Linked DNA regions of Caenorhabditis elegans. The protein of the gene in region 2 interacts with the protein of the main gene of each other region in a biochemical or structural test. Each region holds a gene or a part of one and is shown on either strand. Other genes may lie near its edges.

Region 1 (3,303 bases), about 13 Mb from region 2:
CGATTTTTGGAATTTCTAGATTGAGCTCTTCAATTTTTCCGTTCTTCTTTTTGATCCATTCGTACGAGTTCACGGCAACCTGGCCTCCAATTGGTTTAGTCAATATCAGAACATCTCCAGGAACTGCTTGATCTACTTTTATGATTTCTGATTCATGAGCAACTGAAGTGGCAACTCCGCCGAGCAGAAGCCAAGGACAACGGACTGTTTGGCCACCACGGATCTTTGTGCCTGCTTCGTCAGCTGCATCCTGGAATTTTTGAAGTTTTTCGTATTTGTTTTTGGCAGAAAATTTAATGCTCGAAACGTTTGAATTTAGGATTTTGTCGCCAAATACCCACGGGTTTCTGCACGGCCCGGCAAAGGGTACATCAGTGTAAACGCGCTCTACTGATAATTGCAGTTTAGCCAGGTTTGGGCGCGTTTTAAGGAAAAAAGCTTTGGTCCAAAAAATTTTGAATTTAATTTCGAACATTTTTTATATGCATCACAAAAAAACTGGACCAGTCGTTTTTGAGAAAAACGCGCCCAAACGTCCAGGTGTACGGTAGACAAATTGCGTACAGGTACCACTTCTCGGGCCGTGTTCTGGCTCGACCCCTCGGTGTATTTTGTGCAAACACCGTCACGCGCAAATGCATACACTATTTCAACGCGCTGCGTGAAAATTCCTCTTGCGATTTCAAATATTTTTTCCCGCCCTTTTGCAAAATTTTGGAGAGGGGGGTCTAGCCAGATACACGTGAATACCTAACGAGACCCAACTTTTTGGGGGTGGGATGTTTTGATCTATTTCAAATCGCGAATAATTTTTCTGCGTCTCCATAACAATCTCAACTGAAAACTACCTTGAATCCCTGAATAAACAACGGAACGACAATATCTCTCTGCTTCTCGTTCAAATCAATAGCCACTGCGAGCAGCATAAGCATATTATCACACTCGGAAACTCCCATTGCATACAAATCAGACAATACATTGGCACATGTTACACGTCCCATAATATATGGATCATCAATGAGTGGATAGAAGAAATCAGTGGTTTGTACGAGTCGAAGACCCGGATGACGGAGTGGAATTACGCAACTATCGAGACCAATGTCTGGAAGGGAATTTGAGTTTAAAAAAAAAATTATTTAAATAGAATAGAAGGCATTTCTGAATATCAGATATTATGGAAACACAAAATTCTGAGAATGCGTACTGCACAATATATTCGACGCGCAAAATATCTCGTAGCGGAAACTACATTAACTATTTAAATGACTACTGTAGCGCTTGTGTGTCGATTTACGGGCATTCATTCTAAAAATCGAGCCCGTGAATCGACACACAAGCGCTACAGTAGTTCATTTAAATAGTTACTGTAGTTTTCGCTACGAGATATTTTGTGCGTCAAATATGTTGTGCAGTACGCATTCTTGGAATTTTATGTTCCCGTAATAAATGTACATTCTGTTTTGATTTTCAAAGTTCAAAACGAAATTTGAATTTTTTCTGTTGGATGAGCTTCCTGTTTTGAGCAATTTTTCAATTAAACTCACCAACTTCATCATTATTAATGACTAAATCAGTTTTAAAAGTTTGGAGCAATTGAAGGAGCACATTCCTTGGAACTTTACACCCACAACCCTTCATTCCAGTCAACTTTGTGAGCACAAAATCTTCATCAAGTCCATTGCTCACCGGATCGAATCCCTCCAAAATTCTCTCGATTCGATTCATCTAAAATATATTTTCAAAACGATTTTCTGTGCAAAATTCCAAAAGGTGAACGATGAACGGAAAAAAAAACTTTGATGTTTCAAAAGTTTTCCTAATCTATATGTTTTTTCGCAGCCTATTATCTCAAAAACTTATTATTTATTTATTTATCTAGGTTATTACGGGAATGGATGAGGGGGTGACGTTTTTGAGTTTTTGAGTCGCACTTAATTAGAAAAGCTATATAATAACTCTAGATATAATTACTCGTCTCACTTAATAGCCTTGATAGCTCGCTATAATTGAAATATAAATAGTGAGATGAGCCATTTAAATCGACATTTCGAGACTTTTTTCTCGCGAAAAAGTCAGGCTTTTTCACAGAAAATATGTTCAGCAAGTCAATTCTCTTCTGCCTTTTGGTTTTGGTATTCAATGTTTTTGGAGCTAACTTTGAAAATGATCAGGAGTAAGTTTTACTTTTTTACGTGAAACTCGAGAATCTCTAATTTCCATTCTTTTTTTTAGTGTAATGCGTCCCCCATTCCAAGCCCTTAAACGTGGTAGTTTGTCAAACATGATGAGAATCGGAAAGCGACAAATGTCTCGACAACAGGAATACGTACAATTTCCAAATGAAGGTGTTGTGCCGTGTGAGAGCTGTAATTTGGGAACACTTATGAGAATTGGACGGAGATAAATGATAACGATTATTTGAATTTGAATTTGTTTAAATTTGCATTTCGTTTCGTTTTTCTCTCTCTTATAAACTGGTCCATTCTCTCGTTATTCATTATTTCTCAATCGTTTGATGAATGAATTCATTTGTTAAATTCTATTTTTAAGGGTGAATGATATTGCAGAATTTCTCACAGATAGCACGTGGTGCCAGGCTGCCTTGATCTACAAAAAATGCGGGAATTTTTCTTAGCCGTGCGACAACAGTTCGAAACTCTGCGTCTTGTTTCCCGCATTTTTTTTAGATCACACCGTAATGGGACACTCGGGGGAAAACGTTTTATTTAATCCCCGAAAAAAAAAATCATTTCTACAGTATTCAGAAATGTTGTTTTTTCTCATTTTTCGGGAATTTTTCCCATAAATTTCGAGCTTGATAATTGCCAAATTTCCAAAAATTTTCATTTGCCACACCACGTGGTGCCAGAGTGCCTTATTTCGCTTTGATCTACGTTGATCTACAAAAAATGCGGGAGAAGAGACGCAGAGTTCTCAACTGATTTCGCATGGTTAAGAAAGTGCTGACGTCACATTTTTTGGCAAAAAATTCCCGCATTTTTTGTAGATCAAACCGTAATGGGACAACCCGATTTTTTCGGTGGTTTCTTTTTTGAAAAATCGGAAAATTGAATTCTAAAAAGGGAATTTTTTGTTTATTTTAAAATAAAAATCTTTACCAAAAATGTGGTGGTTTTAATGAGAAAGAACCTGACCGGAAGCTATAAATGGTTATTTATAAATTTAAAAAAATTACGCTAACGGAATTGCACACCTGGAATCACTCCGGCCAGCGGAGCGCACTTGAACACCCCCGCTTTTCTCACTGGTTTTACTCCAGCTTGTATTCTTTAAGGGTGCCTT
Region 2 (3,930 bases):
TTTTTAAAAATATTTGAACTCAATTGTTGGAAAAATTTATGATAATAAAAAAAAAGCTTTTCTCCGAGATTTAAGCAAAAAATAAATTAAGATTTTCCCCAACTGTGATCAAAACTATGTCATTCCCCCTCCCCTTTGCAAGGGATCCCTTTTCCAAAATTTACGCACGGGGAGCAGAAGAAGTGCTTGCTATTTTCACACTTCTGAAAAGCTCCATCCATACTATTTAAAGTATAGCAAACACTTCTAAAATTTAATCCAATGACCCGAGTTATTCAACTACTCAAACCACACCGCTGCAGCCGACAAATCCGGGGCGCGCGAGTGCCACCGCCCGTCACCTCTACTTCGCCACCCCACTGACTGCTGCAAGCGTCTGCGCTACACTGGGTTTTGTCGGCTGCAGACTTATGATATAATTTCCAGAGTTTTAGCTCATTTATCCGGGGTAGCTCTAAATTGACGGTTGGCGTCACCTTTTCGGAGGGCAAAGGAGATTTCCGATATGAAGGTTTATACAAGAGAGCCCCGTTATATCTCCTGTCTAGCAAATTTTGGAAAAAAGGACCTCTTGAGAAAGGGGTCCGAAAAAAAAATTATTTCTTTAAATAAAATTTTTTCATGATGGGATTTTTTTAAAGATCCTAAAGTGTTATATCCTATTTGAAGAACTATGGAAAACTCAAAAAAAAAATTAACTTTTGCAACAAAACAAATTTTCGAAAAGAAACCAGGAAATGCATTCCCTTTTGCATATAATGTGACAAGAACAGACAGAAGATGTCAATCACATGTCTGAAAAAGTGAAAAGAAAAAGAACGCGTAGAGTACAGACTGAACTTGAATGAAAACTTCCAAGATTTTATTTTTAGTGTTTTGATGTGTTACTTTGTCAGCTGTCAGGAGAGGGTGATTTTCAGTTTTTGTTCAACTAGTTCCACCTTGTTTTCTGTTTTTTTTTTCAACAAAAATTCAAAGAATAAACTTTGTCAGGTACAAGAAAATATAGGGTTTTAAATAGACCTTCCAAGTAGTCACAAAAATGTTGCCTGCCACTTTTTCCTACGGCCGGAGAAGGTGCCCGGAGCAGGTTCAAATTTCAAAAAATAAAGGTAAAATGTTTTGAAGGCAGGCAGGCAAGGAGGCAGGCCTATACAATTTTGAAATGAGTTTATGGAAAACTGGGACACATTTAAATAAAAAAGGAGATGTTTGAGCAGAAATATACGAAGAAATTCCAAAATCAATCGTTCACTTAGAAAAAAACATATGCACAATTAGAAAAAAAGTCGGATTTAATTTTCTCAATGAAAAAACTCAGAATTTGTTTCAAAAAATTCACCATTTATCACGTAGTGGCTGATTGGGTGCGCGGAAATCGGCACATCCGGAAATTGCCGGTTTTGGAAACTTTCGGCAATCGGCAATTTCGGCAATTGCCGGTTTTGGAAACTTTCGGCAATCGGCAATTTTGGCAATTTCCGAAGTTGCCGATTGACGGACATTTTTGACAATTTTCAAACACTAATTATATTTCGGAAATAGAAAAAATTTCACCTTAGCGGGAATTCAATTTGTTTTTAACTTTTTAAATTTTTTTTGCAAAGTTGAAAGAATCATACAACTTTAGAAAAATTTTATAAATTTATTACAGTCTATCTACAATTTGAAAAAAAATGCCCAAGCGAGGCCAGCTGAAAGACTTCAGCTAGTACTAACTCACGAGTGATTTGTTTTGACTGACAAATACAGTGAAAACAACAGTGAATTAAAGTTAAAAACTGTGAAATTTAGAGGTTTGAGGAGCATAAATAATCAGTTTTTAACTTTGATAACGACTGATAAAAATCTGAAAAACAAATCATCTCACCTCACTAGTTTGCATTTGTCGTTTGGCAATTGCATTTGCAATGGCTTGACCTATCGAGAATCGGTCCCTCATTTTTTGTGGATCTGCTGCAAAAATATGAATTTTTAGACTTAAAAATAAGCAATTAAACTAGAAAAAAACCATTTCGATAGGCATATAAAATGCAAAAAATATGGAAGATGGTGAGGGGATGTGAAGAAAATTGAAAAATGAAATAACGGAAGCAAAAAGTTGATTGAGAGCAAAAAAGTGATGGGGAAGGATAGGAAAACAAATCAAAGTCATGCACACATGGAGACAATTGGATAAATAGATTGTTGGAAAAAGTGCAAGTTTATCAGTTTAAGGGTGTTCTGAACTAGGAAAAATGGTAGAAAAATGAATAAGGAAATTCTCGAACGCAGTTCGTGCAAAGTTTAGAGAACGTTTTTTATTCTTTGAAAAATAGGGTAGTAGACCAAGGGTGCGCGGCAAATCTCAAAATTTCCGGCAAAATCGGCAAATTTGCCGCACACCCCTGTTGCTTATCTATAGTCCGATCCATATTTCTAATTTGATACATAACAACCTACAGTTTTTTTGCTTTGCTATGCATCGCTCCGTCTTTCTGTGTGTAATTCTAGTCCCAGCCGCCGAGAAGCGGAGATAAGCGGAAGGACTGTAGGTTGCAATGTACCAAGTGATAGATATAGATTGTACTATAGACTACAAGCTGTGTGGTATAAAGATGTCCATCTATTGTGTGATCTATGTCTGTTACTTGGTACATATCGACCTACAGGTTTCCCACCTTTGCTCTACCGCCCAGCGTCAAGGCACTGACACACAAAAACAGGGAGGGACACAGAGTAATTCAGAAAGACTGTAGGTCACCAATGTACCAAGTTTGGCAAATTCGGCAAATTTGCCGCACACCACTATAGTAGACCTACTCGGCATTCGCCGCCAGCTTTTTGTCCATGTTTCATAGCTTATAATCCAAGTTTTGCTCAAGAAAAATTAACTTGGATTAGAAGCTGGCCAAACTTGGGCCAAACTTGGGCGATGCGTCATAAAAGGAAAAAGTCAACCGCTGCGTAGCCCACTTTCACTCAGCCCAAGTCTTGCCCAAGTTTAGCCCAAGATTCACCTGTGTGTTGAACTCCGATCGTATTTCCCGGTTTGCTGATCTCTTACCTGTTGAGCCATGATGGTCGCGCAAGAATATTTTATTAATTTCAATATTAATATTGCAAACCGTTTTTTCTACTTACGCGTAGCCATTCTCATGGGTTTAAGCAGTCAGTTCTGTATTCGATAGTGTTAAATCATAATTGATGAAATTCAGTTTTTCATTGATACCATTTTTCTTCAGAACCCAAAATACTGAACATTCTATCAAGTATCAAGTATCAAGTAAATTCTCGAGGGGTCAGTATTTCAGAAAAGCTTTTCGAGTAGTTCGAAATTTTGATTAAATGATCGGAGAATAAAAACTTTTAGCTATCAAAAATTGATTTTAAAAAGTTAAATTCAAATTTAATCACAACAGAAAACATTCTTCACGAATTTGCTTTAAATGCTGCAGGTAAATGCCGAGTAAGTGCCTACGTGCCTGTTTACCTGCCTACAACTTGGCGTAGTTTGAAGGTTGGTAGACATTTATGTTTGTGCCTGCATGATGGGCAATCAGTGATTTTAAAACTTTTTCTAATGCTGAAAAATAAGCTTCCTGCTTTGTGCCTTCATACCTGCCTACCGCCTATTTTTTTAAAATAATTTTTTGGTGAACTGTAATGGTTTTGAGCTGCGTTTCAATTAACTTGTATAAGCTTAAATTAGGTGAATAACAACATTCAAAATATTTTTTAAATAGTTCACATTAATTTTAGTAGGTAGGCGTAGGTAGGTGTGCAGGTACAAGGCAGGCAGTTCACCTTTCTTTTGATTTTAAAGCAAGTTGTTCAGCTTTCAATATGCTAAAAGGGCAAACACAGACAGGTCTCCAATTTGCCTACCTTCCTGCCTTCCTACCGTTCGGCAGGCGTAGGTCGCCTTGTAGGCATGGAGGGGGAACTTTC

The links.
Region 1: the proteins of npr-37 (region 2) and nlp-17 interact in a test that uses a peptide from one of them, tested with the Caenorhabditis elegans proteins (one large-scale study listed by BioGRID).

The regions. Positions count from the first base shown.
Region 1 is NC_003282.8:13,504,501-13,507,803, reverse strand, and holds nlp-17 (Neuropeptide-Like Protein), read left to right. Parts: upstream 1-2,061; 5' UTR 2,062-2,093; coding exon 2,094-2,173; intron 2,174-2,232; coding exon 2,233-2,404; 3' UTR 2,405-2,534; downstream 2,535-3,303. Other genes in the region: seld-1 (putative selenide, water dikinase), read right to left, coding at 1-250, 849-1,102, 1,545-1,725.
Region 2 is NC_003282.8:479,212-483,141, forward strand, and holds the start of npr-37 (G_PROTEIN_RECEP_F1_2 domain-containing protein), read right to left. Parts: upstream 1,957-3,930; 5' UTR 1,943-1,956; coding exon 1,871-1,942; intron 1-1,870.